Linked DNA regions of Arabidopsis thaliana. The protein of the gene in region 2 interacts with the protein of the main gene of each other region in a pairwise test. Each region holds a gene or a part of one and is shown on either strand. Other genes may lie near its edges.

The links. The genes of interacting proteins can lie anywhere in the genome.
Region 1: the proteins of AMT1;1 (region 2) and AT2G28990 interact in a protein complementation assay, tested with the Arabidopsis thaliana proteins (one study listed by BioGRID).

What each region holds. Positions count from the first base shown.
Region 1 is NC_003071.7:12,452,997-12,460,244, reverse strand, and holds AT2G28990 (Leucine-rich repeat protein kinase family protein), read right to left. Parts: upstream 5,609-7,248; 5' UTR 5,191-5,608; coding exon 5,121-5,190; intron 5,006-5,120; coding exon 4,468-5,005; intron 3,870-4,467; coding exon 3,394-3,869; intron 3,263-3,393; coding exon 3,118-3,262; intron 3,040-3,117; coding exon 2,968-3,039; intron 2,874-2,967; coding exon 2,802-2,873; intron 2,723-2,801; coding exon 2,645-2,722; intron 2,428-2,644; coding exon 2,267-2,427; intron 2,180-2,266; coding exon 1,929-2,179; intron 1,846-1,928; coding exon 1,719-1,845; intron 1,604-1,718; coding exon 1,538-1,603; intron 1,385-1,537; coding exon 1,195-1,384; intron 1,113-1,194; coding exon 704-1,112; 3' UTR 540-703; downstream 1-539.
Region 2 is NC_003075.7:7,856,609-7,860,445, reverse strand, and holds AMT1;1 (ammonium transporter 1;1), read right to left. Parts: upstream 2,264-3,837; 5' UTR 2,227-2,263; coding exon 721-2,226; 3' UTR 528-720; downstream 1-527. Other genes in the region: AT4G13500 (uncharacterized protein), read left to right, coding at 2,572-2,734, 2,799-2,868, 3,315-3,459. UniProt on the Arabidopsis thaliana protein: High affinity ammonium transporter probably involved in ammonium uptake from the soil, long-distance transport to the shoots and re-uptake of apoplastic ammonium that derives from photorespiration in shoots.

The DNA of each region.
Region 1 (7,248 bases), on a different chromosome or scaffold from region 2:
TTATTTCTTTGTCCAATTTGAATGATAGATGTTGTTTTAAATCTCCACTGGTTGTGTACTAGACTAGGTCGAAGTGTGTCTTCGTTAAAACAATATACAACAAGAATTACCAACTTTACATGGTGAAAAAAAAAAAAACATTTACATGATGAACCCTCTCCACAAGATAAATCTGTCTTGTGATATTTCATTATTGGAGTTCTTCGTAACATTTACTATTATACATCTTATTAAACTCAGGATCAACGAGATATACGCTTGTAAACAAGTTCTATTACGTTCATGTTTTATATTTAGACTAAATTTTGACCAACTTTTGGTTTATTAGACCATTTATATCTTCTTTATTTATCTTCTTTTGAAGGAAATATAAACAGCTCTTAAGTTTTGAAGGAAATACATAAGTTTTGGTATATTCAACTCTTCCTTTGGTTTTCAAAATACCGAAAGTGGGAACAACCTAATGCATTTCTTGAGATAGAAACAAAGACGAGAATTAGTTGTGGGTTACAAATTCATGAAATAATTTCAATAAATTTCACCATATGTATTTCACAAAATATATATCACACTACGACAATTCAACATCAGTATTACATGTTATTAGTGAAAGCCTTAGTTATTATTGGCGAAAGACACTCTTGAAACACACAAATTTGAATATTCATGAGAAGAAAAACCAGCAAGAATAAATTTTGACGAGCTAGCGAGCTTGAGGTATTACCTCATTATAAATGTCTCTGCTGAATTCCATTGAACCTTTTGATTCCATGTCTCGTCCCTCACCTATCCTAGAGGTTTCGGATATAAGACATTCTTTTAATTCATTCACAACTCGAGACATGTTTGGTCGTCTTGCAGAAGAAAGACTCACACATGACATTGCTAATTCAATGGCCTTCCAGACAGAACCAATATCATAATCTTGGTGGAGGTTTGGATCCATAATACTTCTAAGATCTCCTTTTGTTATCATAAAACTGACCCATTCCACTATGTGAGGCTTTTCACGGGATTGCTGGATTATAGGACGGTTTGAAATTATCTCTAACAGTACAATTCCGAAACTGTATATATCACTCTTTTCTGTCAACCAATTTGTTTGATAATACCTGCAAAACAAGAAATTGTTGTGATTGTAAAGTAAAAAAAAGGAATGGTGATTTTGGAACTAACATATGAAGTTATACTCACTCAGGATCAAGATATCCAGGAGTACCAGCAACAACAGTTGACACATTTTTCTCATTTCCGATGGGAAAAGATCTTGAAAGCCCAAAATCAGCTAATTTAGCTTGGAGATGTTGATCTAGAAGTATATTCGTAGTTTTGATATCTCTGTGAACCATTGGTGGTACACATCCAGTATGTAAATACTCCAATCCTACATATTAAATTTAATACCATCGTTTATTGGAAAATGGAGATTAATTTCGATATCATCATATGGTTCCTTTCTGATCCGGTCGAGGCCATACTAATACCCATAAAAGCTGTAATTATTAACTAAACATTTGTCTTAAAGTTTAATGAATACCTAGTGCTGCATCCAAAACTATTTTTAGTCTACTTTCCCAGCTCAGGACGAATCCGCCATGCTTTCCTGTATCAATTAAACACACTTCATATCAATTTAGTTATGATCTTTAATTATTCAGAAAAAAAAATTATATCATGGTTAGGTTTTATTAAGAAAACAATTATATATGTGATATTACCTGACAAATGTTGCTTTAAGTCTCCATTTGGCATGTATTCATAAATAAGAGCCAAGTGTTCTCCTTCATCACAATACCCAACAAGACTCACCAAATTTATATGGTGAACTCTCATAAGGAGTTCCACCTAACCAATCATCCATCATCCAACACTCTTAGAGATATACAAATCAATTGGATATCTATTGAGAATTACTAGAAAAAGGGTACCTCTGCCTTGAAATGCTTATAGCCTTGAGAAGATGATTGTGATAGCAATTTAACTGCTACTTGTTCAATAACATTAACAAAACCATGATACACGACTCCAAATCCTCCTTCACCGAGAGCTTTATCGAAGTTATTTGTCATTTCTTGAACCTCAGAGTAAGTAAACCTAATTTTTTTCGATGTGAATGATGATTCTGATTGACTATTGTGCCCGGGATTCGATACAGGCATACTTGGTGGAGCATGTAGATCTACATATGATAGTATATTTGGTTATATGCTAACTATATGCATTGCTTTATAGCAGGTAAACAAATTATTAATGGCTCATAACTTACTTGAAGGGCTGGCCTTCTTCTTTCGGAAGACAAAAAAAAGAGCCACAACCACAACTACAATAACCAAAGAGGCAGCTGATGCAATAACCGGGAGCAAGAATTTATTTTTCTTTTCGGTATTGCAAAAACTGGATTTGCACAAATCTGGATTTCCTTCAAGTCTACAATGAATATGACATATTTTGAAATTGTAAATAGCTTGCATAGGAAAGGCAATAATCGAACTGTCAGGTACCATATTTTGCGATAATTTAATCGACATGAACTCTCTTAATTAAGAAAGATCTAGCAGTTAAATAGTCTCCAAAAATGAAGTTCCTCTACTTTGTTACTATATGATTAGTAAATGCATTCCCTCTATGGAAAAGGAAATCTTACTTTAACACAAGTCCTTCTTTTTCTTTGTCAAGAAGAGCTTGAGGAACTGAACCACTGAGATTGTTCCCACTTAAGTTTCTGTTGAGACAAAGATAACCATTATATATACATACATACGCAGGTCAAAATGTTCATTTATGCTTTTTAGATAGCTTACATTAAAGATAACGTTTTCATGTTGGCAAGGAAGATAGGCACCGGTCCAGTCAAGCTATTATTTGATAAGTCCCTGTGGTTATATGCACAAACAAAAGAAATTGTCTTACATATTCTGTCCAAATAAATCATTATTGGTTCAGGTGATCAACAGTAGAGATACTTACAGTTCTTGTAATTGCGTGAAATTTTGTAAAATTTGGGGTATACTCCCATTTAATCCACTTTTCGACAAATCTCTAATAATACAAAAACACATACAAAATATTTAGATATTTAAATTTTAAATTAAAGAGTAAGTTTGTGAATGACATTACAAGGAAATGATTGTTGGTGAAGTGGAGCCATCTACGTAGGTGCATCTAATACTTTCCCACGACAAATCTTGAGGGAGACATGGATCTCCTTGCCAAGTGATTTTATTCAGCTTATAAGTATTTTTGATGTTCTTGATAGCGTCCACTGACACAATTATTAAGAGAACGTAACAATCAATATCATACTTTATAATATAATGTAAGAATCAATATCATAGCTTATACTTTATAATATAAGTTACATTCCTGTAATATTGAAAGCTGAGAGGTACGTACCATCACTAAGACTTGTTTCCAATTGTGAGAACTCGATAACACTGTATGCCTCAATAGCGTTGATCAGAGGTGGCAGAGTTGAGTTCGGTGTTTTTACTAGCTGTAAATAACAACCTTCTGAACCACATTTCATTGGTTCTTCTGTGTATAATGTAAATACCTTTAACTTGGTTGGACTAAATCCTGAATGATTAAAGTTTCCTCTCAAGATAACGTCAAACTGCCTCGTCTCGTTGGCTTCAAGGGTTTGAATCTCCGCAAAGTGCATGTACAAGTATACCTCCGCATTAATGGGTAGTGGATCCCACGTAATAATCAGCGGCGCACTGGCGTTTCTTGGTATGGCAGCAGTTTGGAGTATATTTTTTGGAATCTCATATGCATTTGAGTTGTTTATATTGAGATCAGTTGTTATATGTGTATGTGAAGATCCGTTGAATGGAGACCAAATACGATCATGGACGTCATCAGCATACCTACAATAAATTTTATTAGCCACATAAATTAATAAGTAAATTGTATTAGCCAAATACTAGTCTATGAAACTAAGATACCAAAAACTAAGTTAGTTGGCAACTATCCGAGTCAATCACCTTGGCTCGTTTTTTTAATAATGAATTCAATCATTCAATTTCATTTATCGTTGCTTGTTTAGTTTGATTTACAATAATGTTAGTCTTTTGTATGTTTGATTTGGTTGTTTGGTTCTTGCTTATTTTCTTTCAATTAATTAATTTAGTTTTAATTGTGAACAAAAAAAAGAAAAAAAAAATTTGTTTTCTTAGCTCATATTAGTATCTTTTATTTCTAGTTCGTTGTTCTTAGTTCTTTGTTCAATTGTTACAATGACTTGCCATATAGTTTTGGCATAATGTAGTTACGTTGGAGTCTTAAAATTTTGAACACATCATTCAACAATGATGTTTTTAACACAAGTAAAGTCAACATATCCCCTCATTCATATCTTCTCCAGAAAAAAAAAGAGAGAAAAACCTCACATTTTTTAAAAGAATAATGTTAAATTTTATTCAAAAGAAAAACGTCACATTGAATGCTTCAAATAGATTGACTTACCTTATAGATGCATCTGAATTGCTAAGATAAACCCGGAAAGACATCATCAGCGAACCAGATTGTGTAACATACGTATTATTCCTTAGTGGCCGTATTTCTATGGCTGAAATTATTGGCAAAGTTTCTCCTGTCTTAACAAGACAAATATCCAAAGAGTTTGACCTGGCTTTGTGTATGATCTCTTCTCTTGTACCTTCTTTCTCTCCATCCAAATCTATTCTTTTCCACTTATTGGGACCAAGATGGATATCGAAGTTTGGATCACGGTTAAGACCATCATAATTTCCATATACAAAGCTAACCACGATGAGATAAGTTGTGCCACGCTTGACATCAAGACTATAACAATTACGTTTTCCTTCTGGGAAGTATCTAAGAGTCAAATATTGTTTTGATAAGTTTATGTTAAGATCTTTATCGACACTATCAATTTTTCCTGTTTGGATGAAAGTGGAATCCGATGTGAATGTTAATCCGTTAAACGAATCATCGTAAGGAGATTCGTCACTAGGTAATCCACAATCTAAACTGATGAAACCTGTTCAAATATAAAAGCAATAAATGGGAAAAGTGATATTGATACATTCTTATATAACATATCACAAGTCAAAGGATTGATTTATAAACAAGAAAGAGATGGTATATATCATTACCTTCTTGATCCTGGGCTCCAATTATAACGACAAAGGTTCCAATCATGGCCAACAAAAGGTGAATCTTCATGTTCTCTCTCGATCACTATCCGGTTTCTCTAGTACTCAAGAAAAAACAAAGACTTGCTTAGGGAAAACTGCAAAAGATATGGAACTGAGAGATACCTCATGTATAAGTTGGAATGAAATATACAAAAGTCAACTCCGGGTAGAAAATTAAATAATGATCGTGGAAATAATCAATCTGGTGTTGAATAGTTGTATATGTTCAGGAGACTCGTCATGTGTAGGAATATTTCCTCCACGAATGTATGGTTTATCGCCAGATGATCTTACTTTGTCTATGTGCTTAAATTGCTTGAGTGAAGAAAAATCATTTGGTATATCTTCATTTAGTAGTCAGCCACCAAAATAACGAATGAGAAAACTTTCGAGCACAAAGATATATAAAGGTTTCTTTCGTGGATAAGTATTTCGTTTGGATCCCGTCCTATAAACTAGTTTACTAGATTGGATCGAATATATATAATTAAGTTTCAGAATTAGTATACAAAGATCATGTTTTTTGATTAAAAAGAAAAATCATGTTATTCACTGACACATTATATTTTGTTGATTTTTTCAGCGGCAAACTAATCATAGACCAATCAATCAAAGGTAAAAAATTAGGGCTGACGTGGCAGGGCGATTTTGAAGGCGATTTAGGGTTTCACTACCGTGTGTCCCAATCTGGCAGATCTGGCGGCTTTTCCGCCGTCTTCCCCCATCATGTCGACGGCGATGGTGGTGGAGAGCACATCGAAAAGTTCAGAAGCTTCCCCAGAAACGACCAAACCATCATACTCATCAATTGTTCAGAATAGACCAACCCTTTCGAAGCATGAATTCAACGTAACAATGGTCAACGGTGATTCGATTGTCCAAGTCCCAAATGAAATCTTTGAAGATTCAACACCATTGTGGGATGATTTGCTCATAGGGCGGTTTCCACAAATATCTCCGCATATTGCAAAAGTTCACGTTATTGTGAACAAGATCTGGCCACTTGGAGACAAGACGGTAAAGATTGACGCATATGTGGTAGACACTAAAACAATCAAATTCCGAATCAGAGAGAGTTCAGTCCGAGCTAGGGTTCTTCGCAGAGGAATGTGGAACATAGCTGACATGCCTATGATCGTTTCTAAATGGTCCCCGGTTGCTGAGGATGCTCAGCCAGAAATTAAAACAATGCCAATGTGGATCACCATTAAAAATGTTCCACGCTCAATGTTTACTTGGAAGGGTCTGAGTTTTCTTGCAAGTCCTATTGGGGAACCAAAAAAGCTTCACCCTGACACAGTTCTGTGCAACAGTTTTGAGGAAGCTAAGGTATTTGTAGAAGCAGATTTAACACAGGAAATGCCAAAACAATTCCGCTTTAAATCTGAAACTGGCGTTGATGCAATGGTCGAATATAAGTATCCTTGGTTGCCGCCGAGATGCTCTTCATGCTCTAAGTGGGGACATATACAAGAGGTTTGTCTAACGCGTCCATCACCCAATCAGCTATCCACACCAACGGAGATAGAAACAGAGGATAAAACAGAGCCTCCTCTCATGAAAGAAAAACCTCTCGAAATACTATCGAAATCTCCTTCGGCTACTTTGACAAAAACGCTAAACGGTGATTCTCACACTCAGAAAGTTCCAATGAAGAATCCGACTGTTTTACAGAATAAGGGAAAGGAAGTTGCAGAGGAAAACGAGGAAAATTTGAAGGACGAAGGTCCCTGGCACACGGTATCGCCTGCTAAGGTAGGCAGGCAGAGGAGTCCTCAACCTCAAGAAGTAGTTAATCATGCGTCTCCTTCTCGTTTTGATGTCCTAGCAGTGGAGGAGGACACGGCTGACACAAACGGTCATGAGGAAGGAGAAATTGTTGTTCTCTCCCAACAATTAAATGATAATTCAGATTCAGTTGGTGTTCAAGGGACTCGTCCGTACATCCCACGAATCTCAAAGTCTCAGCATAAGGTGGTCAAAAGCTCTGCGAATCAAAACACGAAGGGTAACCCTAGTGTTTCAGGTCATAGGGCTCATAAAAAGAAATAATTTTTATGTCGGGTTTCTTTTGGAATGTCCGTGG
Region 2 (3,837 bases):
GACAAATGAAATTAGAGATTCGTGAATAGGTTGGTTGAAAGTTTGTAAAAACACACTTTTTCAAAATAAAATAAAACAGAGTTTGTAAAAACACACTTTATCAAATTAAAACAAAAAAGAGTTTGTAAAAGCACCTACTTCTGCTGAAACTTCAAACTTGCAAGCATCTAAAAGTCTAATTAGTGATGTAAGACATAGAAATTATTTCCATAAATTATTATTTATTTGCATCAGACATGAAAGATTGTCATTTCTGATTATTATGCTTGAGTAAATGGTTCAACTTCGTTTTACCAAATTGTTAATGCTTCTAGAAAGCAATACTTCGAGTTATTTATATCTATTGCGTCAATGCAAGGTTTGTTTTAGACTTTTTAGCTATTTAAAGCAATAAGTATGAACTAATATCAAAAAAGTATGAGCTATATCAAAAGTCCAAACTTAAAAACGGTCAGGCTTTTACTTAGTCCATGCTTCACATTCCTAATTGCTTATCTAGAATGCAGCAAATAATGATCATAAAATTTGAAAAAAGCGTTATAGAAAAAACTCCAAAGAGAACACAAATGACCACATAGATATTATCATCACAACCCCATGAAACTGTACATCTAAAACATTACTGAAATGCAAAAAAATATCCAAAACAATATTTAAGTATCACAAAACATCATTTAAAATAATACTCTAGAAAATAGAGAATAAAAGTAAAAATCCAAATCAAACCGGAGTAGGTGTAGTATTAGCACCAGAAGGAGAAGGAGATCGTGGCTCAACTCTCCTAAGCTGAATGGCTTTGTGAGACTCATCATCATCAAAGTACATATAAGCAAAACCACCGTGCCTGGTCATATCCATACCGGCCATCTCATCCTCGGACGATATCCGCAACAATTTCATTTTCTTGAGGATGAAGAAAAGTGTCCCCATGGTCGCACTTACCCAACCCGTGATCACAATGATCTGAATCAGCTGAGCTCCAAGTAGTTTTCCTCCACCGCCCATAAACAAACCGTGTGGCCTTCCGGGTTTGTTGCCGTAAATCTGGTTCAAGTACTTTTCTTGAGCGAAGAGAGCCGTGAATATTAGTCCCCACGCACCGCAACCACCGTGTAGTTGTGCTGCCTCAAGAGGGTCGTCGTATTTGAGCTTCTCAGCGAGCTTGTTGCATCCGAGGAGGACTAGGGCCGCCACGAACCCGCAGATGATCGCAGCCCATGGCTCAACGACAGAGCAGCCACCAGTTATGGCTGCAAACCCTCCGAGGAGGCCGTTGCATACATCAGTGACGTTCCAATGTCCCGAGAGTAGACGTTTCCCAAATAGGGTTGTCAGCGCCGCGGTGCAGCCAGCTAACGTTGTTGTGACAGCTGTCCGTCCGACCGCGCTCCACTGGCCGTTGTATGTGCCTGTCTCGTACGTGACTAGGATCTTGTTGAAGGAACCGGGGTTAAATCCGTACCATCCAAACCAGAGGAGGAATGTTCCAAGGACAACAAGTGACGCCGAGTGGCCACGAAGAGCGATGGCACGGCCTCCGTTATCGAACCGGCCAAGTCGTGGACCTTCGATGAGCGCACCCCAGAGTCCAGCGATACCTCCGACCATATGAACAACACCGGACCCAGCGAAATCTATCGCTCCGGTGCTGAAAAGCAAATCTCCATCGGTACGGAACGGGCTGGCCCATCCATCAACTGACCAGAACCAGTGAGAGACGACCGGGTAAACAAACCCGGTTAAGAAAGAGGAATAGATTAGGTAAGCCACGAACTGTGTCCGTTCAGCGATCGAGCCACTTGTGATTCCAGCCGCAGCGATTGCAAAGGCCCATTGGTAGAGAAAGTTGGAGTAGTCAGCAGAGGCCGTGGGGATGTCTTTGAGACCAAAGTAGTGTTTACCGATGAAACCATTGGACGGAGATCCAAAGGCAAAGGCGTAGCCAAACAGATAATAGAAGAGACCACCGGCTGCAGCGTCAAGGACGTTGGTAAGCATGATGTTCATAGTATTCTTGGCTCTCACGGAACCGGCACAGAGCATAGCGAAGCCAAGCTGCATAGAGAAGACAAGGTAGGCGGAGAAGAGAAGGTAAGTGTTGTCTATAGCGAAAGCGGTGTCGATAAATTTGTTGTTGACGTCGCCTAACTGGCCACAGATGTAGTTGGCCGCCGCCGTGGCATTAGGACCCAACAGGACAGCGAGATCGGTGGCCGAGCAAGACATGTTGAGAGTTTAGAGAAGAAGATGAAACAGAGAGGCTGAGAAAGAAAGTGTTTTGTTTCTCTGTTTATATAAAAGAAGGAAGCTAAAGGCCTAGGGTTGACTTTTCAATCCTGACGAAAAATATTCGTAACGCATAATACAAAGTCTTTAAGTTTTGTTTATTAGTACATACATGTGAATAAAAAATAAATAAGGAATGTAAATGTATCAGGCTTCAGCTAATATATCGGTGAAGATAAGATCTGTGTGTTCAGAAAAAAATATTCTATCACATCCAAATGTATAAGTGAATAACAGAAAAATAAAATGTAAAAATATTCTATCACATCCATATAGTTGTTGGAAATGGCAGCGAAATTTCGAATTTCTTCTTCTTCGTTTAGCCACAGGGCTAGTGATTCCTCAACTTCATCATCTTCTTCATATTCATCATTGCTTGCTTTACCTCAATTCTTTTGTCCACCATCACCATTAGGATTCCCAGAATTCAAGCTTCATGCCAAATTAGGTACTCTTATATCTTTTATTTGTTTGTAGATGTAAATTTTGTTAATCTTTGGTTATTGCATAAGGTGGAGGAGATGGAGAAGTGAAGCCTAAAGATAAGAAAAAGTTTATAACCAAAGAGGAAGAACCTGAACAGTAAGTTAATCTTAATTCTCAATTTTCATCATGAGATTGTAGAAAATAACAGAAACTCATAGAATGGTAATGTAATTTTGCAAAATCACAGAAAAACAAACCTAGGAAATTGATGAAAACATGGAAAATTACAAAACGATATGTAGGTTACCAATTTAATACAAAAATTTTAGTCTCCATTGCAGAATTTAAGTAGTTTTTTTTTTTGTATGTGTCAATGACATGTAGACTGGTGGTTTGTGACATTGTGTTAGTATTGTATCAATATCCAGACTCAAATCCGTGTTAGCAAAAGAATAAAAATATTTGGGTTGTAGTTTAGTCAAAAGAACTAAACTCTTTTAAAATAGAAAAAGAACTTAAATTCTTGCATGTTCATTTTTCATAAACATGCAATTGTGATTGAAGAAATGGTTATGGATGAGGATTGCATTGGAATTTTGTAGGTATTGGCAAAGCGTTGGAGAAAGAGAAGGAGAGAATCCGATGAAGACGCCTCTTCCTTACATTATCATATTCGGTATGTCAACTCCATTCGTCATCTTAGCCATTGCTTTTGCCAATGGTTGGATCAAAGTTCCCATTCGTTGAGCCTTTCTTTTTGTTTTTTCTTCACTTGTTTAAGGCTGAATCTTAAACATGTTTCTTATACTCTTCTTCTTCGGCTGTAAAAAAGAACAAATTAATAGAATGCTATCACTATATTATATGGTGCTTTGCTATACTACATGTCTTCATTACAAGCAAATGTATAAACAAATATTAGTCATCTCTTCATCATTAGTGATATGTTTGGTCTTGTCAAGAAGAATGAGAATTAGAGACAACACAAAGTAGTGACATAGAGCCTAGTTGGCACATTAAGCAGAGACTTGAAATCATCTAGAAGACTTTTCAAATTACAGCCTGACGAAAAATATTCGTAACGCAAATTGCAAAGTCTTTAAGTTTTTGTTTGTAAGTACATGT